4 linked regions of the Notamacropus eugenii genome follow. The protein of the gene in region 3 interacts with the protein of the main gene of each other region in a biochemical or structural test. Links are inferred from orthologs where the notes say so. Each region holds a gene or a part of one and is shown on either strand. Other genes may lie near its edges.

What was found.
Region 1: the proteins of RNF20 (region 3) and WAC form a complex in vitro, tested with the Homo sapiens proteins (2 studies listed by BioGRID). The link is inferred for Notamacropus eugenii from reciprocal best matches to the Homo sapiens genes RNF20 and WAC.
Region 2: the proteins of RNF20 (region 3) and UBE2A form a complex in vitro, tested with the Homo sapiens proteins (4 studies listed by BioGRID, with this or other methods). The link is inferred for Notamacropus eugenii from reciprocal best matches to the Homo sapiens genes RNF20 and UBE2A.
Region 4: the proteins of RNF20 (region 3) and UBE2B form a complex in vitro, tested with the Homo sapiens proteins (4 studies listed by BioGRID, with this or other methods). The link is inferred for Notamacropus eugenii from reciprocal best matches to the Homo sapiens genes RNF20 and UBE2B.

What each region holds. Positions count from the first base shown.
Region 1 is NC_092874.1:69,111,522-69,119,533, reverse strand, and holds the start of WAC (WW domain-containing adapter protein with coiled-coil), read right to left. Parts: upstream 3,008-8,012; 5' UTR 2,917-3,007; coding exon of another isoform or gene 2,902-2,916; 5' UTR 2,900-2,901; coding exon 2,859-2,899; intron 2,517-2,858; coding exon 2,480-2,516; intron 743-2,479; coding exon 547-742; intron 1-546. Other genes in the region: uncharacterized protein, read left to right, coding at 2,902-2,916, 3,024-3,814.
Region 2 is NC_092879.1:43,329,821-43,337,145, reverse strand, and holds the start of UBE2A (ubiquitin-conjugating enzyme E2 A), read right to left. Parts: upstream 3,034-7,325; 5' UTR 2,732-3,033; coding exon 2,688-2,731; intron 2,513-2,687; coding exon 2,432-2,512; intron 2,086-2,431; coding exon 2,060-2,085; intron 1-2,059. UniProt on the Homo sapiens protein: E2 ubiquitin-conjugating enzyme that accepts ubiquitin from the ubiquitin-activating enzyme E1 and transfers it to a E3 ubiquitin-protein ligase. In vitro catalyzes 'Lys-11', as well as 'Lys-48'-linked polyubiquitination.
Region 3 is NC_092872.1:15,705,055-15,712,476, reverse strand, and holds the start of RNF20 (E3 ubiquitin-protein ligase BRE1A), read right to left. Parts: upstream 3,242-7,422; 5' UTR 3,095-3,241; exon of another isoform or gene 2,553-3,094; intron 1,754-2,552; 5' UTR 1,715-1,753; coding exon 1,586-1,714; intron 1-1,585. UniProt on the Homo sapiens protein: Component of the RNF20/40 E3 ubiquitin-protein ligase complex that mediates monoubiquitination of 'Lys-120' of histone H2B (H2BK120ub1).
Region 4 is NC_092872.1:340,822,074-340,829,238, forward strand, and holds the start of UBE2B (ubiquitin-conjugating enzyme E2 B), read right to left. Parts: upstream 3,146-7,165; 5' UTR 2,991-3,145; coding exon 2,947-2,990; intron 1-2,946. UniProt on the Homo sapiens protein: E2 ubiquitin-conjugating enzyme that accepts ubiquitin from the ubiquitin-activating enzyme E1 and transfers it to a E3 ubiquitin-protein ligase. In vitro catalyzes 'Lys-11'-, as well as 'Lys-48'- and 'Lys-63'-linked polyubiquitination.

The sequences.
Region 1 (8,012 bases), on a different chromosome or scaffold from region 3:
AGCTAGGAAATACTTTCAGTGTTACCAATTGCTTACATTTGCCACAGATATCTCAAACTTGGGTTTTCAATTGCCTCTGAGGATTTAAAAGTTATCAGAAAGATATGAACTTGAATGCTTTTAAATAAAATGAGCAATTAAAAAAAACAATCAAATTCAAATTATTTTATGCCTTTTTTAAAAATGTGAAAAGATTGGTTCTATTTATTTTCCTGATTCCAAAATAATCAGAGCTCTTTTCTATATACACCCACAGTCAATTCCTAACCTCTCCTCATGTCCCAACCAATAATACTATTATAGTCGTTAAGAATCTTCTTGGTGAAGCCAATTCAATTTCTAAATGTACATCTTACTTCTAGATTAAGTTAAAGGATCAAAATATTCTGACCAAAAAATAAAGAACACTGATGAGATAAAAGTGGCAGAGTTCACCACTAATAACATAATTCTGTTCTCTATTTCATAGATTGATTTTGATTGACCGTACCAAAAAAAAAAAAAAATTTCAATAGGTACAAAATTTTTGTAAGTAAAACTACTTACCACCATCCCTCTCTCTAACTCTGTGAGTATGCACACTTTTTGCTTTACTGTGACCTGTGCTGTCGCTATATTTGTTTTCAGGACTATCAGATCGTCGTAACATTTTATTTGGTGGTGAAGGATCTGTGGTGTCTCGCATCTTTTCATGTCGGTGATCGCCACTACTGGGGTGACTCTTCGATGAATATTTAAGAGCCTACAAAATATCATACAAAGAAAAGCACAGACCTTTAACTTGAGTCCTTAATTATGACAACATGAAATTTATTTCGTTAAGTTTTATGACTTAAAACATCAATTTTAATCAAACATGATTCAAGAAGTCAATGTGTCTATAAATAGCAATGATTCAAAATAATGAGATCTCTAATCACTCATTTAAATATTTCAGAATATTTGCTTGAAACGATCTTGGGGCATCATTCCTTAATAAACCTTTCTGGGAAAGATGGGATGGGGACAGAAATGACCTTATAATACTATACAGTGAGAGTCAAAAGAGACTCAAAGGTCATATAGTCCCACTACTTCATTTTATAAATGAGGCAACAGAAGTTCAGGATAGTTTAAGTGGCATGCTGCTGCCACAGAGGTAATAAGCAACAGACTGAGATACGAACCTAAATCCTCTGATCATATACTATCAGCATTCTGTCTACTGTTTCATGGTGATTTCCTATTGTCTATATTCCCCAAATTATTTGGACATTTTGGTATCTATTTATCCACCCAATTTAGCCATTATCCATTTCTAGGGATTGTTAAAGCATAAGAAATCGATAGTTGAGTACTAGGTCATCCATTTCTGCCCTAAAAATTCATCTATGTATCTAAACAGGCGCCAATGGATTTCATTTACAAGAAGCTCTTTAATCACAAATTTCATCTCTGTACATGCAAAAAAAAAAGGAATCAGAATTAACCTTAAATTAACCGTAACTTAATTTCTGACTCTGGGATCTTATGATACTAAATACTTAATTTTAAAGCTAAATAACCTAAGGTTCCTTTCTAACTCTGGGATCCTACGTTATTAAATATTTAATTCTAAAGGTAAATTAAAATGCAGAGGATAACTTTGAAAAAGTGCTGCCTTTGTAATAGAACCAGACTTACATTCTCCTTAGAGAATTAAGCAGGTCGTTTCAGGCTATTATAATGTGCAATTATATCAAGGAAAACATGACCTATCCTTTAACATCTTCAAAACAAATATTATGCTGTATGACACACTGTAGTGCGTTGTAACTTACTTGGTTTGAGGTACAAACGCACAAGAAGTCAAGAAATTTTGAATAAGAGGATTACTAGCTGAGGGATCTGCAGATCCCTCTCATTTAGACCCCTAAGTGTCCTCTGACAGCTGTCATCCATTTTTGATAGCTTTTGAAAAGTCATCCATTTCAAAGAACCACAAGGACTGTCCTACGTAATTTCTGATGAGACACTGGTCAAGAGCTGCCCTGAAAAGGAACCAAAACCCCTCGAATCCCCGATGTCTCCTCAGGACATAGCTCCCAAGTGTCCAGGGCTGGCTCCTACTCTGAACAGGCAGTGAAATCACTCCGGACTGGGGTTCAGACTTTTGGTACACTCCCATAGCAAAGAGAATCAACTCGCTGCCTTTTTAAAATTTCAGCAGGCTGCCACTCACGAAGACCGCCCTCCCCCCAAAATTTAAACTAGTCCCTCTCTGCCCTCCCCGCTAAAATATCCGGGCTGGGCTCGTGGGCTCTCCGGGGCCCCCCCATGCGGGCCGGGGGCAGTCGTTCCACCAATCCGAGCCCGGCTTTCGTGGGGTTCCGGGGGGCTGGTTTCGGGTTCGTTGCCCCGCAGGGCCTGCGCCGACGGCTGAAGCCTAAGCTCGAGTAGCAGCAGTCGGTCCCTCCCTCCGCCTTCCCCGGCCGTCCCTCCCCTAGGACTCGGCTGGTACCTGGTAGGGCTGCGAGTCCCCCCTCCGGTCGTGACAGCTGAAAAACAGGAAGACAGACAGCGACATTAACACCCCGAGAGGGAGAGGCGAGCAGAACCCCCCCCCGCCCCCCAGGACCCGAGGCCGGCCGCCCACGGGCCCGGGCCGACCGCACGGCCGCGGGGCGGCGGCGCCCAGGAGCCCCCGGCGGCCCGGCCCGGCCCGCGGCCGCCCCCGCCGCCTCCTCGCAGGCCGGCCCGGATCGGGGTTAACAACAAAAATGGCGGCTCGGCCCGAGCTCGATAAGGAGGAACATCCCCCTCCCCGCCCGCCGCCCCCGGCGCGGCCCGGCCCGGCCCCAGCCCGGCCAGAGACAGACATAGAGAGAGAGAGGATTTACCCATCACTGAGTCTCTGCTGTTTCCTCGCATACATTACCATCAATGCCCGGCCTGTGTGTGTGTGTCGGGGAGGGGGGGAGAGGGCCGCGGGAGGCGGGAGGCGGGCGGGCGGGCGGACGGGCAGCGGCGGCGGCGGCGGCCAGCACCCCCTCAGCGGGTCTTAGCGCCGCTCCGTTACTGGCGCCGGCGCTCTCGGGCCATGGCCCTCCCCCGGCGCCGCGCACACGCTCGCTCCCGCTCGCTCGCCCGCTCGCTCCGTCCGTCTCTCGCTCGCTCGCTCTCGGCGGGGGCAGCGGCGCCAACTACACCGCGGCAGCGGCGCACCGGGGGGAAGGGGGGAGAAAGAAGACGCGACCGGCTCGGCCCAGCGGAGAGCGACGGCTTCCTCCGCCTTCCCCTCCTCCTGCTCCTCCTCCGCCGCCCCCTCCTCCTCCTCCTCCTCCTCTTCCTTCTCCTCCACCTCCTCCCCCCGCCGTCGCCGTCGCCGCTGCCGCCTCCTCCTCCTCCTCCTCCTCCCGCCGCCGCCGCCGCCGCCGCTGCCGCTGTTGGTGCCGCCGCCGCCGCTGCCGCCGCTCCTCCAACTACATCCGGGGAACTCGGACGCCACCGCCTTCGGAAAACATCGGCAGTTTCCGCCAAGCCGCTCCTCCCCTAGCGCTTCCTCCGTCTCCCCTCCCTTCCCTGTTCCCGAACGCCGAACTCGGCGTACTTCGCCTCTTCGCGACCCGTCGGCTCCTTCCGGTTCCGCCGCTTCCCTCCCCATGCGTACGTCCTCCTCCTCCTTCCTCTCTCCCCTCCCCCTCCGCCCCTGCGCCTCTCCTCGGAGCGCGCCGGAGGCCTCTGGTCGCCTTCTGTGTGTGTCCGAAGGAAGCCTAAGCTGCTGCGGCAGTGGTGCGCCCCGAAGTTCGATACCGGCTTCCCGCCGTGGAGGCGGCTGCCCTCGGAGGAGGGGCTGGTGGGTGCCTCGGCCCGGGCGGGCGGGAGCGGACCTACTGCGGGAGGGAAGGGGGTACGGACCGCGCTCACCCCGAGGGCCAGAAGGACATTTGTGTCCGGCTTAGAGCCCCCCGCCGCTCTTACGCTACAGGGATTTATAGGAAAGCCGAGGTCGGCGCCGGGGCTTCCGCCCGGGGCCTCCGGGTCCGCCCTAGGTGGCGTGGAGGGAAGGGAGGCCTCGAGGCCTATGCGGGTACCTGTATGGAGGGAAGGAGACGAGGGTCGGACTGAGGCCCCGCCATGGCCAGTCCGACCCCGCAGCCGGGGGAGTCTGTAGGCTCGGGCCTTGTACCCCGCCGGCGCCGGGGGCCTCGGTCCGGCCCTGCCCTGCCGGCCTCCCCTGCCGGCCTCCCCTGCGTCCTCCGAGAACTATGCGAGTCGCACCCCCGGCTTTCCTCCCACCGGTTGGTCTTCCTTCTTCACCTCCAGTGCTCCTCTTATTCTAGACGTATGTGTTGGGAAAAAATAAAATCCAGTCTGGAATTGTGTTTCTGAACGTTCGGCATTTTCAGCCTGTGTTTGGGGCGCGCGCCATTGGTTCTTTGGGAGCGTGAGGCCTGGGATTTCCCGTTCTGTTGGGCAGCAGGGATGGAGGGGGGAGTCTTTTTTTCTGCTTCCCTGATTTGGAAAAATTATCCGAAAGTTATTCTACTAAGCAGTTCTGGAGTGGGCCCTGGAACGTAGTGGGAAAGGAGACGCAATATTAAGGCAAAGAAATTTTGCTTTACGGTTTTGCATCGGGGCCTGGCAGAGACCCAGGCAGTGAGAACAGCCAGGATTTATACGCTGCCCCAAGGCTGCCTGGGAGCTAGGTGGGTGCTGTCATCATCCTCCTTTTGCAGTTGGGGAGACTTGTCTGAGAATGGGCTTCAATTAGGTCTTCTCACTCTGGGCCCGGTGCTCACCCCATGAGCCGCTAGCTGCCTAGGTACCAGTAAAAAAATCGATACCGTATGTTGCCTTTTGGAAAGTTGCCAGTCTCACCTTGCTACAAGTTGTCCTCCAGTTACTGACATTTAGCCTCCGTATTTTAGCTTATCTTCTACTTTATCCAATCTAACCAGGGCAGGAGCGTCAATCAGCAAGCGTTTATGGGCAGTCACTGTGGGTCAGGCACTGGGCAAGGTGCTGGGGATACAAAAGTAAAAATAAAGGTTCTCTGCCCTCCAGGAGCTTACAAAGAATGTCAAGGACCTGAAGTTTACAGTATCTCAGTTCCACTTTAGCCCCGAACACTCATTTGCTGCGTGATCATTAACTGCTAAACCTCAGTTTCCTGATCTGTAAAGTGAGAATAACCATTGTGCCCATCACAAAGAGCTGAGAGGTTAAAATAGAAGTTATTCTATAAGATAATATATAAGACATTATGTTAATAATATATATTACATCAGGCATTATATAAATGTCAGTAATTTGCGCCACACAATATTAGTGGAATTTCTCCATTTACAGGGATCCTTACTCCGCATAAGTCATAAAAACCTGTTGTCTGTGTTCATAATTGCTATGTATAGTTTTACTTTTTCTCAGTTTCGTTTCCAAAAGAAAATTCTTGGCTTTTACTTAGATCAGCTTTTGGAATGGAATGGAAAAGTATTCATTAAGTGCTAATCCCTGTGCTAAACACTAGCTAACAGTTATATGGTGCCTGCAATGTGGTAGGCACTTTGCTAAGCACTTTGCAAATACTTCATTTCCTCCTCACAACAATCCTTACTGTCCCCATTTTACAGATCAGGAAACTGAGGCAAACAAGTTAAAGGACTTGGCCAGGGTCCCACAGCTCCTAAGTATGTGAGGCCAGATTTGAACTCTTAGTCTTCCTGACTCTCCTCCTAGTGCTCCATCCACTCCCTAGAGATGATCCTCCCTCCCCGTGAGCTCATTCTGTTAGAGGGAGAAAACTTGAATGTAGGAGGGTGAAGATTCACAGCAGCTGCAAAATCTTGGTGATAATAAGGATCTAGCAGGCAAAGCAGCAGCAAGATGCTTTCTAGTAAGTCAGCCTTGGTTTGCAAAAAAAAAGCAATCCTCCAGGAGAACAGCTAAGATCCTGTATGAGGGCAGGAAAACTTGAATGGACACTTCTAGTACTGACTGTGTGACCCAAGGACAAAGGATTTAGACTTCTTGATCTATGAAACAGATTGTATTATATTATATTATTATTATACCCCTAGCATGGGGTATTCTAAAATCAGCCTGTCCATGCCTACCTTCCCCCACCTACCACTTCCATTACAGCTGGTGACCTAGCTGTCCTATTTTTCTGGGAAGGTTGAGGCCATCTCAGATAAGCTCCCTCAGCCTCCTTGGATTCCTCAAAATCAATAATCTTTTTCTTTTACTTGGATCACAAAAGAAGTATACCTATTTTTCACTAAGGCTAATCCATCTTTTTATATTGTAAATTCTAGGGCAGCTAGGTGGTACAGTGGATGGAGTACCAGTGCAGGAGTCAGGAGGACCTGAGTTCAAATCTCACCTCAGACACTTGACACTCACTAGCTGTGTGACCTTGGGCAAGTCGCTTAACCCCAACTGCCTCATCTTGGGTCATCTCCAGTCATCCTAATGAATATCTGGTCACTGGATTCAGATGGCTCTGGAGGAGAAGTGAGGCTAGTGACCTACACAGCCCTCCCTCACTCAAAACAAAAGTCAAATGCAAGTCATGTCATTTCTCTGATGGCATGGTCTTCTTCAGCAACAAAGGATATACACACACATTGTAAATTCTATTCCCTTTATCTTGCTTCCACCAGTCATCTTCTCATTTATTTCTTTCTCTTTCATTTTATTTTTTTTAGTCTGAGCTTAACAGCTGATAACCATGTTCATATCTATTTTAGAACCACAGAGGCAGAGCCAGCACAGCAGAGTGAGAGCAACTACTCACCTAAGCTCTTAGCCAAACTCCCTCAGATACCTCTAAAAAGAGAATCTGATCAAATTTTGGAGGTGCAGAATCCAATAGGAGACAAACTTTGGCCGTTTCACAGCCCAGGACAGACTGGAAGGTCCTGTTCCACAGGGGTAGAAGAGCATACAGCACACAGTGCAATGCTCCAGACTGCAGCAGGGCTGAGCAGGAAAGCCCTGGCCTGAGGAAGCAGCAGCACAGCAGGATAGCAGCTTAGGGCGAGAGTCAAGCAGAACGAGTGAGAGCTGCAGATGGAGCCCCAGCTATCTGCAGCAGCTGTACCAGAGACCATCAGCCCACAGATTAAATGTCTGTAAGTCATCTACTTGAACTTCTGGGAGCCAAAATGGCAGAGTGATCAGTAAATGCTCTCTCCCCTCCCCTTGTTGACCTTGAAAGAACCATAAAATATTTCCCCAGAAAAATCTTGGATCAGTGGGATCAGCAGAAGAGGCAAACAGTCTCATAGCATCTGAGGCTAGGAAAATAGCCAAGCACAGCACAGGACCTGAACTATCCCAGACAGCCCCATCTCAGCAAACCCGGAGGAGAGGACCCCAGCAGGGTGGAGCCAACAGCCATCAACACCAGGAGCCTAGCCATGCCTCAGGGGAAATGGGAAGACACTAAAGCAACCAGAATCACCCACCCCTGAGCTTGCCTTTGCTCTAGCTCAGCTGAGATCTCTCCTGACCAGACCACCCCTCCCCGACACTTAACAAGCTAGATTCAGGGCTAATCCAGGGAAACACAAAACCAAAATAAAGGCAGCTGCCCTTTGCTTTCTCACATCAGCCAGCTCAGCACCAGGTTCATTAGCTTGTACCTGAAAGAACCAGAGGCCACAATACACAAAGTGTCATCATCGTGAGTAAGAAGAAGCAGAGCAAGAAGGAAAAGACCATAGAATCTTTCTATGGTAACAAGGACCAAAACACGAATACCAAAGAGGTCAGTATTGAGACTGTACTCCCATCTGAAACTTCAGAAGGGACTATGAACTGTTCACATGCACAAAGAGCAGTCTTGGAAGAGCTGAAGAAGGAAATAGAAGAAAAACTGGCCAATGATTTTAAAAGTATGAAAATAGAATTCACTGAAGAGAACAGCTTTTTATAAAGGAAAATTAAACAAATGGAAAAGGAAGCACAAAACCTAACTGGGAAGATTGGACAAATGGAAAAGGAAGTACAAAAAATAACTGGAGAAAATAATTCCTTAAAAGGAATAA
Region 2 (7,325 bases), on a different chromosome or scaffold from region 3:
ATCTGCATTCATTTAGATGATGAGACATTATCTCACTTCAAAATAACTTCAACAGCCTCTCTCTTTTGCTCCCTCAGGCTCAAACTGCACTTTCCTTTAGGAACTGGTCATTCCAGAAACTTCCAGAGACCGATCAGTAAGACCCTGTAAACTCTGAAGTTTGTAAGGGTAGATTAAGAACTATTTAAGACATTTCCTATTGCTCCTTATTTCCATAATACATTTGAAATGGCCAAAGGCAATAATGCAGTAGATAGGTCAGTGTTTTCTATGTAAATCTTTTCTCTGATAAATGAGCATTCATAGACTGGTAAAAACATCACACAGATAGACAAACTGTCAGATAGATAGCCACAGGTAGTTAGTAACCTTAAATACCTGAGGAAGTATAGCATGTACATAAAGATACCGATTGTTAAGTAGAAAAAAAATTAGACATATTCAACATGGGCAGTGCCTTTCAGACCTAATATTGAGGTCAGTATGGACTTATCACATCATCACAAACATAGACATTATTATTAAGGTCCAGGTAGATAAGAAATTCTTTCCACCCCTACCCCCACCCCCCTCTCCAAAGTCAGACACAGTTGTGAAATAGCTAAACTCTCATCGGTGCTTGCTGTACAATAAAGCTGTCAGCAAAATGCTTTCTGAGGAAAATGAGATGGGAAGTCAACCAAAACAAATGCTGGGAGAGCTCAGCTACTCAAACAAATACACACTGTTAATGTGCACAGAGAGCTTAAGTTGAAAGAATGAGACACAAATCTATTAGTGAAAAATTAAATCTGGGTACAAGTAACACAAGTTATAGAAGAAAGCATTCAACTGATTTTTCAGACCTGTGATTTTTTTGGTATAGGGATCTCTGGATGAAGAAACTACTTCTACCAATGCTGATCTACAATGCCCTGGGGTTAAGTGAGGATAAGTGACCTGCCTAGGTTGACAAAGTCTGGCCAGTCAGAGGCCGGAGTTGAACCCAGGTCACCCTGCCTCAGAGGCCAACTCTATTCAACCTGGCTTCTGCAAACTGCCTTCTTATGCTCTATCACTTCTTTTTATTTTAGGACTTTTATTTTACTAAACAGTACCTGAAGAGGCAAGGAGTAAAGAAAGGAGTACCTTGAAATATTCAAGTGCCCAATGACATTAGTACTAGACACTTTCACCACCAAGATGCAGCGTTAAATGAAAACTAATTTAAGATTTGATGGTGGATTCCACCAACTAATGTAACATTTACGAAACAAAAGCTTTGATTGTTAAATATTCAATAATTTAAAACTGTATTAAGACTTTGGGGATCACCTAGTATTTTTACCTTAATTGGTCATTAAAGGGGACAGTTAAACTGTGTTTAGGTTAGTCTGGCAAAAAATGAAAAAAATCCCAGAATTTCAGAGTTGGAAGGATCCTCAGACTCCACATAATCTATCTCCAATGAGAAGGCCTCCTAACTATGACTCCCTGTAATTGTTACGAAGTTTACTTCTTTGCAGCCTTTCCCATGGGATCCTTGTCCTTGTCCTCTGAGTTCACAACGAACTAGCCTAAGCCTGGACAATGTTTCAAATACCTGAAAAAAGTATCCTATCTACTCCCTGAGAATGAGGATGTGTTAGAAATGACAGTCCTTCAAGTGATGGGGATGAAGAGAGGTTAAGACAAATAGAAGGGGTTTTTCTGGCAGTGAGTGAGAGCATGAATGACATCGGCAACCTTTATGGTCCCCACTATCTTTTAAGAGTCCATGACGCGTGTGGAAATGAGTTTGAAAGCCCAGGCGGTTTCCGCAGGGCCAGCCATATATACAGTACCCACACTACAAAAATGAACAGTTGTGCTCTAGTGCCCCCTTTACAAGCCCCGATAAAAGGTACCAAAACTGGAGTCAGGTGGTCAGCAGCCTGAACAACCTGCCATACAAGGGCAGCTTACTCTCGCCTGCAGGAGGTAGAGAAGAAAGAGGGGGACGGGGCTGACTGCATGGGGACCCACTCCTTCCCCAGCTCAACAGCCGGCTCTGAAAGGGAGGAAGGATAGCGCTCCTTACCATCTTCAAACGGGGTCCCCTCGGGCCTGCAAGAGAGGGGGAAGCAAGGCTAAGTCAGTGCCGGCTGTTCCCGCACGAAGTACCTGCTCCCAGGGGGGCACCCAGCTGCCCTCGCCCCCCGCCCGCCCTTAGCCGGGGAGGCCCCTGCTGGCATCTCCGGGCACGGCGAGCCGCTCCGGCTTCCTTCCCAGTCCCGCGGGCAGGGCACTCCAGCCCCAGGCTCGGGACGGCCCAGAGGCCGGCCCCGCGCACCCTGCCTCCCGTTCCGTCCCGTCCCGCTCCAGTCAGTTTCCCTGGCCCCCTCCTCCTCCCCCGCCTCCCGCTCGCCCGTGCGCGCGCCCGCCAGCCCCAGGGCTCCCCCGGCGGACTCACCCGAAAATGACCGCGTTCCACACCATAATGTTGTTCTCGGACGGGGCTCCGCTGACCCCGGCAGGGGGGTCCTCTTGCAGCCTGCGGAAGGAGCGCAAGTGGAGCTCAGTCCTGCCCTGCCCTGCCCGGCCCGACCCGGTCAGGCCCCTCTGGCCCGGCCCGATCCGATCCGACCTTCCCGGCCTGGCCCGTGCCCCCGGCTGGGACCCCGCCCCGCATCCCGCGACCCCCGGTCAGCCGCGCCGCCCCTCCTCACCTCTTGAAGTCCCGCATGAGGCGCCGCCGAGCCGGGGTGGACATGTCGCGGACTGCTGCGGGCTCAGGGGTGGGGCATAGACCAGCGGCCGGGCGGCAGGAGGAGGAGGAGGAGGATGAGGCGGCGGCTGGAGAGGAGAAGGAGGGGCAGGGGGAGGAGGGGGAGGAGGAAGAGGAGAAGGAGGAGGATCGAGAGGAGACGCAGCCGGCGCAGAGTCGGACTCCGACGGGAACGCTGGAGCCCCTGGCCCAGAGGAGGGAGGGCCAATACCAACCCGAGTGGCCCCAGAGGGGAGACAGAGGAGGAGAAGGCTGCACCACTGCTGAGGCGCGGGGGAGGACGAGTGGAAGGCGGTGACAAAAGCTGTGCGAAGTCACCAGAAGGGGGTGGAGTGGGGGGATGAGCAAGCTCACAAAAGCAATAATTAACAGTGCAACTCCAGGGAAAGGGAAGGAGGGGCAGTACTGGTGCTTTTATGGAAGGACGTTTTTAGTTCTACATCAATCCCCCCTCCCCGCCGCTGCCGCCAACCTCCGGCTCTAGGGCGCTTCCACAGAAACACTGGGGCTGTACCATTCAGTGAAAGGAGTTCTCAGGGGGGTATAAGCTGGCCCGCCAGCCAAGCCTGGAGCGGGGCTGGGGAAAGCAGAGCTCCAGCTTTACTTACACCCACGAAACAAGGCAGAGAGATCCTGGAGAAGGGTTGTACCATTGACATCAAAGGGGACCGAGGAAAAGGAGTGAACTCTTCGAGACAGTTCGAGTTAATCTACTGATGGGGGGGGGGGGGGGGAGGCCCCGGGGGGGTGAAACTATACCCTACCGCCCCAAGTATGGGGAGTCAGTGTGGGAGATCTCCTGAGGTGGAGAGGGAGAGGGGACAGAAATGGAGCCAGCATCCACTCTGTCCCAACCCTGTGACTCTGCAGCCACGTTTACAAACACTGGTAACCAGGAGAACCATCCTGGGCCCACGGACTCAATAACAGAGTTGGATATGTCTTGTCCAGGAACCGGAGGGATGCCTGGAGAGCAGCAGGCGAGAGAGGGGCTAGCAGTTATGGGAAAGAATTGTTTACAAAGTATTGTTACAAAGGAACTTCTGCCACCCCGTCCCTTTTTTAGTTTATTATTTTTATTTTCAAATAACAAGTATTTTTTTTAAAAGTATTCTGCCCCTCCCCTTACCTCTGCCCCCATTAGCGCATAAAAAACCTCGAAAAACAAATCTCTTAATAGATAGCTACATAAACTAGCAAAACCAAATTCCTGCATTAGCCACGTCCAAAAAAAAAAGTTATCCCCTCTCAGGAGGTGAGTGGCTCATTTCAGCTTTGTTTTTTTGTTTTGTTTTGTTTTGTTTTGTTTTTGGAGTCGTGATCTGTCATTGCGTTGTTCAGAGTTCTACAGTCAAAATTGTTTCTGTCTATAATGCTGTCTTTGGATAAGTTGGTCTAGTTCCGCTCTGAAACCGGCCATTTCTTAATTCCTCTGTTATAGTAACATTCCATCACACATATAAGCCACAATCTTTTTAGCCATTCTCCAATAGGAAGCTATCCCTTTAGTTTCCAATTTTTGGCTACCACATAAAGTAGCTACTAAAAATATTTTTAGTCCACATAGACACTTTGAATTCTTCAATTTCTTTGGGGTATAGGCATAATAGCAGCATTGCTGGATCAAAGGGCATGTACAATTTGGTAACTCTCTGGGCTCACTTCCAAATTGATTTCCAGAATAGCTAGACCGATTCACAATTCCACCAACGGTGCATTGGTGTACCTGTCTTCGCATATCCCCTCTAGCATTTATCATTTTCCTCTTTTGGTCATCTTTGCTAGGTGGAGCCTCAAAGTTGCTTTAATTTGTATATCTCTATTAGTGATTTAGAGCATTTTTTTTTTCAAAGCTGTTGATTTCTCCCTCTGAAAACTGTCAGTTCAGATCCTTAGACCATTTTTATCTACTGGGGAATAGCTCTTTATCTTAGAAATTTGAATCAACAACCCAAAGGAGATTTTAAGCGAAAGTAAAACATGGGATGAGTTACCCATAAAAAAGAAACTGACCAAGCTGAGTGGTAACAGTCAATTACACCAAGTAATTAGCATTTCTAAGGAACTTTCTGTTTTGCAAAGGGCTTTACAAATGGGTTATCCCCTTTGATCAAGCTTTAAGCTATCAATAAACATTTACTAGAGGCTAATTAGGTTCAGGGGATTCAAACACAAAAGTGACACCATCTCTGCCCGAAAGGGGCTTACATTCTAAAGATCCTCAAAGCCTTGGTGAGGTAAATGCTATTAAAATTTAAATGATTCACTCTGGGTCACACAGCTCTCCTCAGGGAGCTATCCTTTCTTACAAATAATTTAAAAGAAAGAGGATAAGAAAAACAGTTCAGCAAAACTAATCACACTCACTATGGTAACTTTTCTCTTCTGATAAATTACTTTTCCTGGAAAATTTGACAGAAGTACAGATAAAAGGCACTTGCCTCCCTTCATTGTAGGTGTGGGGCATATACTCTTAGCCTCAGTTTTGACAAAGTACTTTTTTTTTTCCTTTTTGTATTCTTTGTTTCCAAGGATGGCCAGCTCTCTTGGGCTGGGAGGGGAAATGGAATTTTTGGAAATGAACGTGATATAAGAACAAAAGCTATCAGCAGATATTAAAAAGAAAAAGTCTTCTACACTCATTCATTATCTCTTCGGCTTCACCTCCCAGACTCCTGAAATCTAGCTGCTATCTCCCCCTATCCAAACTTTCTCTACAGGAATTGCTCTTTCAAACGTGGAAAGATTTGTATGAACTGATGCAGATGGAAATAAGCAGAATCAGTAAAAGAATATAAGCAGAGATGAAAATGAATTATATATTATAAATAATTAAAATAAAGAAAACCAACAAAACTGAAGACTGAGAGATGGAGAGGACCAGTCTTGGCCCTGGAGATGAGGTGAAGAAACACCTCTCTCCATTCGGTAGAGGGGAAAGTTGGGAAGTGGGATGTCGAATACGCTGTCAAACATAGTCACCATGTTGGTTGGCTTTACTTAAAAGTTTTAATATTTTCTTGGCTACATCACTAATTTGATGATGGAATGAATGGGTATATACTGAAATGACTGTACTGGAAAAAGAAAAGGCATCAATAAAATGATTTTTAAAAAATAAAATAAAACTAATTTATTCTCAAAGTTCACTGACAAGTTGCCAAAACCAATGGTTTTTACTCAGTCTTGCTGTCTTCATCCCTCTGCAGTATTTGATACTGTTCACCACCTCCCTTTTCAGAATGGATCCTAGATCTCGAGCTGAAAGGAACTTCAAAGGTCCAACTCCCTCATTTTACAGAAGAGGAAACTAAGGCTCAGGGAGGATTCAAACTGAGGCCCTTTGACTCCAGATTCAACCTTTTCTCCACTGCACCTCACTGCCCTGATTAAACAAATATCAAGCATTTATTATGTACTAAGGAACATAACTTATAGAGGGTATGGAGGTCAGTCATGTGGAGAGAATGGGAAGGCATATTAGCCTGACTAGAACTCCCTGGGGAGAAATGAGAGCTGGACTTGGCAAAGCAACTGGGGGTGGAGTAGGGGTGGGGAGTGTGGGGGGGGCGATACTTGATAATGGACCTTAGAACGCTAGGCTGAGAATTTTCTGTTTGGTAGGGAGCCATTATAGGTCCTTGGACAAGGGTGAGTGTCATGACAAAAATAGGTTTTTGAGGACTGACTGGGGGAGGGGGTGGCATGAAAAAGACGGGGAGGCCTAGCGCTGGTTAATATGCCTACCTATCCACCAATGACTATGAGATGGTTTGCAGCGATCTGCATGCTTCATGTTTCTGATATTTCACTTTTATTTTTGTATTCCAACAGTGTCCGGTACATAGCTTAATAATGCTGATTGATTGATTGATGGGTTTGCCTCTCTTCCACGTGGCATTTTTCCTTCCTCCCTTGGACTACCTGACAAAAAAAACAAAACAAAACAAAACCTCAGAGACATTGGCTCAAGTTGTTCCCAAAGCCTCTGTGTGTGGCCTCCCTGTGTGTGGCCAGCAGAGCCGGATTTCAGAAAGGGACTGTGCCTCAGGAAGAATGTGCCCCCACGCTCCTCCCCAGAAGCAGGGTTGCTATAGTGAATGGGCCCATGGCAGAACTCTCTCAAGCAAACAATCACCAGGCGGGTACAGCCTAACTATAGCTCTGTTGGCTGCAAAGCCCCTACCACCCCCATCCCACCTTGACATCTCTGTGCCCATTCAAATAGCCTCTTGTGGGTGCCCCCTCTAGAGGGAGGGGGCCAAGGAATGATATCATTTTCCATTCTAAAAACATCCCTGTCATTTCCTCTGTAGCTTCCAACAGGCCCCTGGCAGACACCCAGGCCTGACTAGACTCCAAATCATCTTTCAGTCCCCAACATTAAGCTTCTCTGAAGGGCCTTTCTCAGGTTTAGAGCGAATGCTCAGGCCGAGATGTGAGATTTAGTTTTGTCCTAAGCCTTCCACTCAAACCTGACCTGAACACAAAAGGGAGGGTTTTGAAATATGGGAGGAGGTAACTGTGGGAGGCTCTGTCCACAAGAATCTTAAATTCAGAACAGAGTCTAATTGTCACT
Region 3 (7,422 bases):
TTGAAATATGATGTTCCAGAACAGAGGATCAAGGATTACAATCAAAAATAACCTAATGAGCAAAAATGAATATAATCCTTCAGGGGAAAAAAATAAACATTTAATGAAATAGAGGACTTCCAAGGATTCCTGATGAAAAGACCAGGGTTGAATAGAAAATCTGACAGTCAAACACAAGACTCAAGAAAAATATTAAAAAGTAAATATGAAAGAGTAATCATAATGGACTCAATAAAATTAAACTGTTTATATTTCTGTATGGGAAGATAATACATGTAACTCCTAAGAACTGTATCATTATTGGGGCAGTTAGAGGGAAGTCCACATAGGCAGAGGGCACAGGCATGAGTAGATTATGTTGGGAGGACTCCCCTCAAAAAAGGGGTATTAAAGTGTAATGCAGTGGAAGACAGGGGAACGGAAAGACAAAATGGAGAAAATTTTCCTCACCTAAAAGAAGCACATAAGGAAGAGTTTTTATGGTGGAGGGGAAAATTAGGGATGGGGTGGCAATGCTTGAGCCTCACTCTCAATGGCTGATTCAAAGAGGAAAGACTATATATACCCGTTCAGGTGGGTATAGAAATCTATTTTACCTAAGAGTGAAATAGGAGGGAAGGGGAAGAGAGATATGGGGGGGGAGGGGCTAGAGGTTAAAAAGGGAGGCATCGGCCAGAAGCAAAACAGACTGTTGAGGAGGAACAGTTTAAAGAGAGAGAGAATGAAAAACAGAAGTAAATAGGATGGAGGGAAATACACAGTAATCATAACTGTAAATATGAATGGGATGAGTTAAGCAATAAAAAAAGGAGAAAAAAGAATGAATTAGAAATTAGAATCCAACAATATACTGTGTAAAATAAACACACTTAAAACAGAAAGATACAGGCAGCAGAATTAAAATAAAGAAAGGGCTGGAGCAAAATCTAGAAGGCTCCAAATACAGGCTCCATGACTGACTCTTACACACCTGTCATGAAGCAACAAGGTGAGCTAAGTTTTGAAAGGCTTAATCACCAGGTTGTGTCCAGGACGATGGCATTTTTTCCACAGAAACTCCTGAATACTCTCTTCCACATTCCTCCCCACCCCCCAAAGAATCATGGATATTTCAAGGAGCAATAATAGCTAATAGCTAGCATTTATACACGGCTTCAAGATTTGCAAAATGTTTTACAAATATGTCATTTTATCCTTGGGACAATCTTGGGAGGTAGGCTGAGACCTCTATCAACTGTACCACTTAGCTGATCTATTTTTTGGTCTATGACTTTATTCTTGAAATTCCCCTCCCTGGAATGACTACCTCCTATACACTTACTGCAAACCTGCTCTTCCTTCAAGGCTCACAACAAATACTAACTCATTACACATACATCCCTCAGCTACATATACCCCGCTCCCCCACCCTGGACAAATTTCATCTCCCAGAGTCCTGCTGAGCTATTACAGCTATTTGTGAAAGGAACTTATTTTTCCTACTGGACTATAAGATCAAGAACAAAAGTCTTTGTATGACAACATGAGAAGTATTCAGAAAGCGTGTACTGGGTAAAGAAGGTGTGTGTGTGGCATGCATACATACCGTGGAAGACACACCCCCTAGTTTAATAGTTTCTACTGTGGTCCCTGAGTCTTCAACAGCAGCCTTCTTTTCTGGGGGTACTGAAGTACCAGGCTCCCCAGCAGCTCTCTTATTGCCGATTCCTGACATTTTGACCCAAACGATGATTGTCAACTTTTCTGGTTCTTCCTGAAAAGTGAATTCACATGAGAACAGCCATGGACGTTAGGCACACTAAGGGCGGAAGGAAGGAAGGGAAGAAGGAAGGGAAGGAGGGAAGGGAGGAAAGAAGGAAGGGAGGAAAGAAAGAATGGAGGAAGGAAGGAAGGGAGGGAAGGGAGGGAAGGGAGGAAAGAAGGAAGGGAGGGAGGGAGGGAGGGAAGGAGGGAAGGGAGAAAGGACGGAAGGAAGAAAGAAAGGAAGGAAGGAAGGAAGGAAGGAAGGAAGGAAGGAAGGAAGGAAGGAAGGAAGGAAGGGAAGGAGGGAAGGGAGGGAAGGGAGGAAAGAAGGACGGAAGGAAGGAAGGAGGAAGGGAAGGAGGGAAGGGAGGAAAGAAAGAAGGGAGAAAGGAAGGGAGAAAGGAAGGGAGGAAGGGAGGGAGGAAGGAAGGGAGGAAGGGAGGGAGGAAGGAAGGGAGGGAGGAAGGAAGGGAGGGAGGAAGGAAGGAAGGGAGGAAGGAAGGAAGGAGGGAAGGGAAGGAGGGAAGGGAAGGAGAGAAGGGAGGAAAGAAGGAAGGGAGAAAGCAAGGGAGAAAGGAAGGAAGGAAGGAAGGAAGGAAGGAAGGAAGGAAGGAAGGAAGGAAGGAAGGAAGGGTGGGAGGGGGGGAGGAAGGAGGGGAGGAAGGAAGGGAGGAAGGAAGGAAGGAAGGAAGGAAGGGAGGGAGGGAGGGGGGGAGGAAGGAAGGGAGGAAGGAAGGAAGGAGGGAAGGTACTTCAGGGCTCAGGCACCACAGCCGACGTGGGAGCCCCCTCCCGCTTCTCCCCCTGACCTCTCGGGCGGGGGTCCCATAAATCCACCGCTTCAGAACCTTGTGGGAACACAAGGGGAGGGGCTCGCTCGGCTCCCCAGCCGGTTAGCGGTCCTGGGGCTCCCCAAGGGGTGCGGGAGGGGGCACACGACAGCCTGAGCCGGTTGGATTCGCAGAGGGAGGGGGCATCCTCGGGCCCAGGAAGGGCGCCGGGCACGCCCGGCTCGGACACTCGGGGAGCGCGGAGGAGGGACTGTGATGCTGGACTCCGGGGGGCAGGAATTCGGGAAGGGGGGCGCGGACACGCGTGGGGGCAGGGGCGTGGGGACACGCTGCGATCCCGAAGGAGAGATCGAGGGGTCTGCCGCTCCTGGCCCTGCCAAGCTGCAGAAGCCGGTTTCACGGTGACACCCGCCCAGGAACCCTCTGGCGCGGGGCAATTAAAGCAAGAGCCGGAAGTGCCGAGCTCCTTCAGGCGGGCCTCATACGCAGGGGGTCAAGGTGGGGGGCTCGTCTCCTCCCAAAGGGATACCGGATAAGACTTCGGGTAACAGATGACTTACCTCAATGTGCCTGGGCCACTTGGCGGCCTCTCACCCCTGACCCGGGGCGGGGACAGAGCACACTTCCGGAGGCGGGACAGGATCCCGGAAGGAGGAAAGAACAGAGATGTCCCCTTCCTCCCAGAAGCCAAACTGGGCCGGGCGGAAGTGGCTTCCTCCACGCACGGTGATGAAAAGGCGTTGGTCGGCTCCTCTCTGTGAGCACCAATCCTCATTCAGAAGACCCGCCTCTTTGTGCTCTGATTGGTGAACGTCATCCACAGAAGTAAAAAGCTCTCTTCCTATTGGCCGTGTGGTTGCCAATGCCCCGACCATCCACTAGACTAACGGGACCTAGGAATGCGGAGCGTGAAGGGACTGAGGAGATGGAGACGGCTGGTGGGGATGGAGGAAGGGAGACTGATGGGGAGCTCCAGGGTGAATAGTAGTGAGGACAACCGAGGGTTAGGTAAGAACAGCCTGAGGAGAAGGAGTGACTGGGTTTGTGACTGGGAAACTGAGATATTAACTGTGTGACCCTGGGCAAGTCACGTAACTTCTCTATAAAATGAGGGGGTTGGACCCAAAGACCTCCAAGAGCTTTGTTTATTTAAAATTATGCATCGGTATTCACTGGGAAAATAAAATACAAAGATCATACACCAGGGCAAGGCTGAATTTATACAAGGAATTCAGGGGTGGTTCAATGTTAGGAAAACTATGAGCAAAACTGAGCCTATGAAACAGAATATATGTATATGCCTAGTTTGATAGATACAGAAAAAGCTTTTAAGGAAATACGACACTCATTCCTATTTAAAAAAAATACTGGACAGCATAGGAATAAATGGAGCTTTTCTTAAAATGATGAGTATCTCCCTAAAACCAGGAGCAAACATTTCCAGTAAGGTGAGATGCGAAGCAAGGATGTCCGCTGGGACAACTTTATTCAATATTGTACTAGAAATGTGAGCTGTAGCATTAAGACAAAAAGAAGTTGTGAATAGGTATAGGAAACCCACAAAACTATCATTTTGTAGATAGAATAGTTTACTTAGAAAACCCTAGAGAACAGAAAAAACTAATGAAAAACAACTTCAGCAAAGTTAATGGATAAAATTAACCCACATCAATCATTGGAATTTCTATATATTATCAAGAAAATCCAGAAAGATGAGTTGGAGAAATTCCATTTAAAATAACAGCAAATGGTATAAAATACTTAGGAGTCTACTTGCCAAGACACAAAAACTATATGAGTACAATGACAAAACTGTCTTAGTACAGATAAATACAGATCTAAGTCACTGGAGAAATGTTCATTGTTCATGCATAGGCCAAGCCAATAAAATAAAAATTACAGTACTACTGAAGTTAATTTACATATTCCGTGTCATAGAAATCAACTCATAAAGAATTACTTTGGAGATTTAGGAAAAAATAAAATTCATCTGGAGGAATTAAAGATCAAGATTATCAAGGGAATTAATGGGAAAAGGGGGGAAGTTGCAAAGGGGGCCTAGGAATACCAGATCTCTAGCTATTTTACAATCAAAGCAATTTGGTAAGAAATAGAGGGGCTGATCAGTGAAATGGATTAGGTGCGCAATATACAGAAGCAATGAGCACAGTGACCTGATGTTTGATAAATCCAAAGATCCCAGCTATTGGGGCAAGAACTCATTATTTGACAAAAACTCCTGGGAAAACTGGAAAGTAGTCTGACAGAAACTAAGCATAGGCCAGTATTTCACACTGTGTATCAAGATAAACTCAAAATGGGTGAATGATTTGGACATACAAGTTGACATTATAAGCAAATGAGTGGATTAGGGAAGAAATTACTTGTCAGATCTATGGGTTGGGGAAAACTTCATTACCAAATAAGAGAATGAGAGGTTCATAAGAGGTAAGATGGATAGTTTTGATTACATGAAATTAAAAATGTTTTGCATAAACAAAGCCAATATAGCTAAAAAGAAAAGAAAAATAAGGAACTGAGGGAAAATCTTTGCAGCAAATTTTTGTGATAAATGTTTCATTTCTAAAATATTTAAAGTACTGAGTCAAATTTAGGAGAGAGTCATTCCCTATTTGATAAAAAGTCAAATGATATGAACAGTCAGTTTTCAAAGAATGGAATCAAAGCTATCAAAAACCATGTAAAAATGTTCTAAATCATTAACAGAGAAGCACAAATTAGAACATTTCTGAAGTACTACTCATACACATTAAATTGACTATGACCTAAAAAAAAATGACCTGTTGAAGGGGATATGAGAAAATAGGTATACTAACGTACTGTTGGTGGAGCCATGAATTAGTCCAACCATTCTGGCAAGAATCTTGGAACTATGCCCCCAAAACTACTAAATCATGCATACCCTTTGATCCAGCAATATTTCTGCTAAGTTTATATCCTAAAGAAATCAAAGAAAGAGGAAAAGGATTCACATGTACAAAAATATTTATAGCAGTTCTTTTTGTGATGGCAAAGAATTGGAAAGGGAGGGGATGCCCATCAAATGAAGAATGTCTGAAGAAATTATGCTATATGAATATGATGGAATACTATAAGAAATTATGAAAGTGATGGTGTTAGAAAAAACGGGGAAGTCTCTTATGAACTGATACAAAATTAAGTGAGCAGAAGCTCACTTAATAATTTATACAATAACAGTATTGTATCTCCAACTACCCATAAAGAAACCCTAAAGTCATCCTCTATAAGCCTGGTCCTTTTCCTATATCACTACCTTTGTTTAGCTCCTTGCTAAATCTCAGGCCCACTGCTTTTGTGTCAATAAAGCTCCCAATGGCTATAAAAAAAAATATTGTAATGATAATGAACTTTAAAAGACTTAAAAACTCTGATTAATGTAATGACCAAACAGAATTTCAAAGGCCTCATAATGAAGCATCCTATCCACCTCCAGAAGAGAGTTGATGAACTCAAAGAAAAAGTTGAAATATATTTCCTTTCATTTTTTTTGCACACGCCTAATGCAGAAATTTGATTTGTATAACTATACATACTTGTAATGAATTACATTTTTCTTGCCTTCTCAATGAGTAAAGGAGAGCAAATTTGGAATGGAAAATTGAATTAAAAAAAAAAAAAGACCAAAGGACGTCCAAAAGAAACAGTCAAAGATGGAGGAAGAGGACCAAGAGAGAGCAGTTACAAAATCTCAGAGATGGTAGTGAATCCAAGGAAGCCGGTGACCAACATTGTAAAATTCTAGACAGGGGTAAAAAAGTAAAGATTGAGAAAAGGCCATTAGATTTGGCAATTAAGAAATCATAGGTAGCTTCTAGGAACAATAAATAGTGTATTTTTTTCTGGAACATCAGTAATACATGTGAATTGTAAACGGTAAAATGGGAGTCTGGAAAGGTAGGTTGGAGTCAGGCTATGAAGAGTTTTAAATATCAAACTCAGACGTTCAAGGCAATAATAAGAATAATGGAAGAAGTGTTGGACTTAAAAGTCATAAAAAGCTGGGTTCAGATCTTGCCTTTGACAGTTAATAAGTATGTCATGATGAATGGATAATTTAACTTTTCTAAGCTTTAATTTCCTCATCTATAACATGAGAGTAATTATACCTGTAGTATTTACCTTGCAGGGATGTGAGGATCAAATGGATTTATATATGTGTGTGTATATATATATATATATATATATATATATAGTCTTTTACAAATCATAAAGTCCTATCTATAAATGTCCATATTTATTATTTTAGAGGCAATAGGGAGCCATTGAAGTTGTTCAGGAAAGGAGGCACATAGACCTGTTCCTTAAGAAGATAATTTTCATATTGTATAGAGGATAGATTGTAAATGGGAGAGACTGGAAGCAAGGAGACCAGTCTGGAGGCTACTACAATAGCGCAGGCAAGATTTGGTAAAAGTCTGGTGAAGCGGCTATGTCAATGACAAACAGAATAACTGTGGAAATATTATAGAGGTAGAATTCACAAAACTTCACAACTGGTTAGACTTGAGTGAAGGAAAAAGAAGAGGTAAGGATTATTCCAAGGTTATGAATCCAGTTAACTGGAAATATGGTGATTCCTTCAACAGAGAAAGAGAAGTATAGAAGAAGAATGTGGTTTAGGGAGCAATTTTTTTGTTGTTGACATGTTGAGTTTTAGATTCAGGACATTCAAATAAGTGTCCAGTGGGCAGTTGTCTATGTGGGACTTGGACGTTCAAGAGAGATAATAAAGCTGGATATGTAGATTTAGGAATCATCCTCATACAAGTGATCATGGAACCCATGGAAACTGATAAGATCACCAAGTGTGAGAAGAGGGAGAGAACAAAAGAGGACGTATGCTGAG
Region 4 (7,165 bases), about 330 Mb from region 3:
TCTGGAAAGTGAATGTGTTGGGACTAGACTAACAACCAGACCTTCCTCTGGGTCAAGTTCACTCAGCATTGGGCTGCTCCCCGATTATGAGCTCTTGTGGTTTACTGGCTGCCAGTCTCCTAAATTTAATTAGGCAGGAACCAAACAGAGGTTGCAAGTACAAGAAAGCCTAGATTAGAAGAAAAGGTAACAATGCTTTTTCTGAGTATAGTATCACTAAATGATACATTACCTTTTAAAATTTTATCTCACAGCTCTCACAACTGAAAAGGCTATTTTGTACATAATGGTGCAGGATGGAGTTGTAAATAGTAAATAGTAGTCTCTTACACTAGTAATGACTTTGTGAGCACTATGATTCTAAACAAAACAGCTACACAAAAATGGCAACAAATGGAATGAACAAGGCTTTATGGACAAATCGGTTCATATACATCTATATCATTTAATCCCCCTAACACTAATGGGCACTACAAATTAATGTACCTACCATTATTCTACAATTAGACAAGAAACTGAGGCTCAAACAAATTAAGTGCTTCTTCCAGGGTCAAGCAGCTAATTAATTAGGTGGTTAGAGTCTAGTAAAGAGTTTCTAAATAGCCAGCGTTTAAAGGGTAGATTCAACTGCTCAGCAAGGTGTGGCTTTTAAGAAGAGTAAGGTTCCTGAAGAAGCAAGTCAAAGTTCAGAATAATGAAGCTACCCCAGGATACAACGCTGGTGAACAACAGCGCCCAATGGACAACAAGGACAGTGCAACTACAGGAAGCTGAAGTTTTCATATGCAAGTAGTGCATATTTATTTCCCTTTTATAATTGACACTTTCCAATTCACTACCCGCCCCCCCTTATGGATAAACATCATAGCCTCTTAAGCAAGTTCAGTAGACAATCAGCAAGCTAAGTGGCAGGATTGATATATCTTCCATAATGGCCACAACTTCTTGCTAATTAACTCCAGCAAGCTCCTAAAGGTACAATTTTTTTTTGGCATCTAGAAATGTAGTACATAAAAAGTTTTGTTGCCAGAATTAAGCTGTATCCAAAGCAAAATTTTTAAAAATGCTCAGTACCTGGAACCCAAGTTGGAAACCTATTACTTAAGGTAATTGTCAAAAAAAACTAACCAATGAAATATCTGAACCATAAAATGTTTTAAAGATGTTAAAAAAAATCCAAAAGCTGAGTACATTATACAGGTGACTCTTCTAATTTTTCTGCAAAGTTCATCAAGTGTGTTACCTTCCAATAAGAGAACAAAGACAAATAGGATATGGAGTTAACAACCACCTACTTTGCCCCTTATTCAGGTAACCCTCTTTTAAAAGCTTCAATGCAGGGCTATAAAGCTATAAAGTTTTACTTGTAAAATATCGTTGCAAATTGTACAATGCTTTGCACGTAAGTATTTATCTTCATACTAAAAAAATTTTTAGTAGCATTTAAGCAGAATCATTCCATTTTCCCCTAGGGAAAAGGCACCCAGAACAGCTCAGTCTGAAGAAGAGACAGAACTGGTTCATACTTAAGGAAAAAAATCTCTCAAGCACTTCACCTGAGAACTTAAAAGGGTGTGGTGAAAGCACTCTAATTTTTAAGTAACTAATAAAATAACTTTGTGACAAACAACGCAGGTTTCTCCAGATCAAAGAAGTCATCTCAAAACACTTCTCTTTTAAGCAAAAAGAAAAAAATGTTGAGGAAAAGATAAGGCTCAAGTAAGACATTTCCTCACTACTTATATTCCTATGTATCTTCCAAGTGTTTGCAAAGGTCAGTAAATGACTTGGAAAAAAATCTACTTTGTCAAAAATCCCATCCTTATCAACAGATAAAAATCCTAAAATAAAATCTAAATGTACTACAGGGGACCCAGGTGCTTGTCACCTTCAGTACTGGCAGGAAAGGCATTTCTTCTAACCTTAAAAGTTACTAGTTCAAAGATTTATCCAACATTTCTCCACGTAACTAAATGGAATATCTGGAGAGAATGAGCTGATCCCCGACAGACCCCTAACTAGCTCTTCCAAGGACTGGTACCAGAGGTTTGGGCTGGCTCAGCACCCAGCAAGGTTGTTTTTGTTTTTGCCCTTTTTTCCCGAGGGGGGCGACGAAGAGGAGGAAGAGGAGGAAGAGAGGAAGAGGATTAGACTCCAGCTTCCACCAACTTCTCCACCCTCACGGAAGGGACAGGGGTAGCTCTGGCCCAGCCCCAACACGGGAGAAGGGATGTGGGATTCAATTAGAAAAACACAGAATTAAGATTCCGGTTGGGGGAAGGGGAGCCTCCTCCAGAGAAAAGGACACCCCGCTAGGGCATACAAAAAGAATAGAACCTGAGGAAGGAGGTGGGGGGGAAAGAAGAGACATAACCCCTCCCGTACAAACCTGGGGGTGTCACCCGACATTCGCCTCATTAAAATAACAAATGAAACCCAGGCAGGCAAAGAAGTCAGCTCCTTCCCCTTCCCCCTCCCCCCGGCTCCAAACCTGGGGGTGTCCGATCACCTTCCTCTATTACAAAAACAAACGAGGCTCGGACAGGCCCTCCTCCGTTCCCCAAACCCGGGGGTGTCGGACGCCCCCTTCTACGGATGGGGATGGAGAAGTGGGCGACGCTGGAGGCCTGTGCAGTCCCCTGCCCCCACCCTCAGCTCCGTTTTCACCTAGGAAAGGGAAGGAAAAAATGGGAATTCCCTAGGCCTGGAACCGAAGGACGAGAGAGTGCAGCGAGCTCCGGTGAGGAGCCGCCTCAAACCCGGCCCGACCCCCAGCCCCAACCCGGGATCTAAGACAGGCCAGGCCGCGTCGGAGCTAAAAGGAAGGTGCCCTGCGGCCTGGCCGCGCCGGGATTGGTCTCCAGTCTCCTCTTCTGCCCAAAGGCTTCGGGGAAGAGAGGAAGACAGCGAGAAAATAGGACAGGGACATCTGCTGGGGGCAGTTACCGCTTGAAGTCCCGCATGAGCCTCCTCCTGGCCGGGGTCGACATGATCCCCCCGCTCCCCCGCGGTCTGTGTGAGAGAAAAGAGTCCCGAGTTCCCCACCCCCCACCCCCCCGGCCGTAGCACTCAGGAGCACCGCCACCGCCAAAGCTTCACAAACAACCCGCAATGACTTCTTCCTCCGCTGCACAAAAGATCCCTCCGCCCTCCGCCTGTACCACTATGGCGACTTTGTAGGAGGGGGAGGAAAGGGAGGAGTCTGAACGAATTCTGCATCCTTCGTCAGAAAAATATAGAGTCTTTGACTGTATCACTATTTTTCAATGCAATATTCCTTATATTGGCCTCATTTCCTTTGCATAGTAAGTAACAGAAGCCGTATCACGAGCAATTCTGTACTAGTTCCCCCTTGATACAATCTTAGACTCGTCCGAGTGGGGAGGAGTCGGAGATGCTGGAGAGGGTGATGCAGCTAGCTCCTGAGATTTCGGGCTAGAGGAAGGACGATGACGTCAGATCACGTGATACTCGGTGATGCTGTCAACAATTCAGATGGGGGTGGGGAGGGAACTAGACCACGTGGCCCTGTGACGCAGGCCGAACTGTTTCAGAGAAGGTACTGGAACCGTGAAGTTGCGAGGAGAGTGGTCAGTTCCGCAGTGATGGAAGAACCTTCTCTTCGGGAACAGAGCTGCCTCGTCCCCCACCGGGAGCCGCGGCTGTTGTCCTGCCGCCGGTCAGGAGGTAGCAGACGCACTGCTCGGTCGGAATGAAGGCTTGCCCTTCTCTTTGCCTTCAAGACCTGGGGACTTGGTCGTCGCGGGCACTCCCTCTCCGGGCGCACGTCGCTGCCCTCTTGTTCTTGAGAGTTCCTGGGGCGGAACAAGTCCCTGCCTAGCGGCCCCCTGCTGATCGAGACTCCAAATTTAACTAGGTTGGTTAGTTTTCAGAAGGTGGACACGGACCCGCCCTGAGCCAGGGGCTTCTTTAAAATCTTTAATGTAGTGTCAATATAATTTAAGGCTTAGCCCTCCCCTCCCCCCAAAAAAGAAAAACCAGGCCAGAATAAAAATATTCTCAGGCTGTTGAAAAGTGATTTCGGTGTATCCCCCTGTAGGGCGGTAGTAGAGAGGAAGAGCTTTTGTACGCCCTTCCAACAAAGAAGAATAAAATGTCCCAGTGTGCGTGGACATCTTCTGTTCTGCGCTGAGGTCATTCTGGAGCTGGAAACCCCAGGGAGGTGCGTGCGTGGGGGGGTGTGTGTGTGGTGTGTGCGTGTGTGTGTTTTCAAATTATCTTAGAATTTCAGGCATAATGTCTTTTTTTCTTGAATGAGCACTATTTCATTCGAGGATTTGTATCACAATTCGTGGATTTTGTCTATAAGAAAGCCTTGATTCTGCTTTGAAAAAAAAAAAGTCGGAAGATAGAAGGTTGGCATTTGATATAATATTGTGTTTTGTGTCTTGTGTTTTTCATTTGTTCAAGAACTGTTTGTTAATAAGTACTGTGTGCAAGGCACATGCTAGGTGCTAGGAGAGATGCAAAGCTAACTAAGATCCCTGTGAGATACAAAGATAATTACGGTATAATCCGCGTCCCAGTGGAATTCTCCATCTATCAGGAGCCTGGAAATGATAAAGGATATAAACAGAGTCTATCTTATTAATAGATTTTTATAATAGACTTTTTGAAAGACACTTAGTAAATAAAGGTAGGATCCAGTTTTCACTGGCTTGTCCCCCCCAAGGTTAGAAAGCTCTCTTCTAGTCTCCTTCCATTAGCTTCACAGGCTTTCCTGAAGTCTTAGCTAAAGTCCTACCTTCTGCAAGAAGCCTTCCTGGTGCTTCTTAATCTTAATGTCTTCACTCAGCTGACCTCCAATTTATCCTGTCTATATTTTGTTTGTATGTAGTTACTTACATGTTTCCCCATTTAGACTGTGAACTCCTTAGGAGTAGAGGGGATTGTTTTTTTTGTTTTTGCCTTCCTTTGTATCCCCAGTGCTTAGCACGTAGGTTGTGTTTAATAAATTCTAGTTGACTGAGTACTGAATACAAAATAATTTCAAGGTGGAAAGAGTGCTATTAGAAAAGGCCTTATGTATGAGATGGCACCTGAGCTGTACTTTGAAGGAAATTCAGTCTCTGAGACGGAGATATAGAGGAAGTGCCCTTTAGAAACAGGATGACCAGCTGTGCAAAGGGATGGAGATAAAAGTTGGAGTATTTGCTTCAGTTACTAGTAGATCGGTTTGATTGGATTGGAGATGGTAAGGGGAATAAGATGAAAGAAAACTAGAAATGTAAGTGGGAACCATATTGCAGAGGGCTGCAAATGCCAAACTAATGATTTTGCATTTTATCCTGGAGACAAAGATGCATTTAAGATTCTTGAGTAGGGGGTTGACAAGAGATGAGTTTTAGGAATGTGAATTTGGCAGCTGCATTGAGAATGGATTAAAAAAGGGAGAGACTGAAAGTATTGGGATACAATTAGGGAAACTATTATAAACAAAACAAAAGGTGATAAGGGCTTGAACTAGGGAAGAGGCTGTATGAGTCAAGCAGAGAGGATGGATATGAGTGAGGTGAGGAAATGGGAATAACAAGACTTAGCAACTCATTGGATATGGGGATTAAGGGAGAAGAAAGAGTCCAGACCATGAACCTGAGTGACTGGAAGAATGGTCATACTATTAGTAGAAACAGGGATACTGAGGCATTGTGTTATAGTTAAAAGAGTGCTGGGTTTGGAATCAGATAAGGGTGCAAATCTTGGATTTGGACAAGACACTAACCTCTCTGTGCCTTATTTTCCATGCTTGCAAAAAAGAATAGTTTGACTTAAGATGGCCTTTAAATCAAATCTATAATCTATGAACCAGAGAAGGGTTTGGAGGGAGGGGGGAATAATGACTTATATTTTAGACACGTTGAGTTTGAGATGCATCCAGATGGAGATGGCTAGCAGGCAACTGGTGATATGGGACCAAAGTGCAAGACAAGAGAGATTAGGGATTCAAAAGATGTGAAGGTAGGCTTTGATAGTACTGCCTGATAATTGATGGAATATAAGGTGAGGAAGAGAGAAGAATTAAAGATAAGCCTAAGGTTATGAATATAGAACACTCAATAAATAGTGGTGCAACAGACAGAAATAGTGAAGTTTTAGATATACTGATCTTGAAATGCTGGCAGAATTTCAAAGTAGAGATACCCCAAAGGTGGCTGGAGATGTGACTAGAGCTCAAGAGAGGGCAGGACTAGAAAATCAGATATATTTGAGTCACTGGGTTCTCTGTAGGAGATTTACTGAAAGACAAAGGCAAGAACTGCACAGAATGAGAAGATGTGGAGGAATGGATTCCTCCAAGAGAGCACCTTTACTAATAAGACCACAGATCCTTCAAAGCGTCAAAGACTTGTCCTATTTTTTGTCCCCTTTGCCAATCTGATGGGTATGAGGTAGAATCTCAGAGTTGTTTTGTCTTTCCCTAATTATTAGTGATTTAAAGTATTTTTTAAGTATGGCTATTGATAGCTTTGATTCCTCCTCTGAAAACTGCTTGTTCATATACCTTGACTCCGTTAGTTGAAGAATGACTCTTTTTCTTATAAATTTGAATCAGTTGCCTGTATATCTTAGAAATGGGAATTTTATCACAAAATATTGCTGCAAAGGTTTTTTCCCCCCCATTTACTTCCTTCTTTTCACATTTTAATTCCATTGGTTTTGTTTGTGCAAAACTTTGTAATTTTATGCAATCAAAATTGCTGTGGTTTTTTTTTTATCTATTTCATCATGAACTCCTCTTATTTCCTGACAGGAAATTTTTTCCTTGTTTATCTATTTTACTTACGACATCACCCTTTACGTCTAAGTTATATATCCATTTGGAGTTTATCTTGGTAGACATAGGACACCAGTCTATACCTAGTATTTGCCAGACTGATTTCTATTTTTCCTAACACTTTTTGTAAAATTGTGACTTCTTACGCCAGTCAGTGGAATCTTTGGATTTATCAGGCACTGGGTTATTGTGCTTATTTGCTTTTGTATATTGTTTATGTAATCTGTCCCACTGATCAACCTTTTTATTTTTTAGCCAGTACAAAATTGTCTGGATGATTATTGCTTTGTAGTGTGGTTTGAGATCTGGTGCTGCTAGGCCCTCTTTTTCCTCTTTTTTTTTTTTCCCTATCAATTCACTTGAGATTCT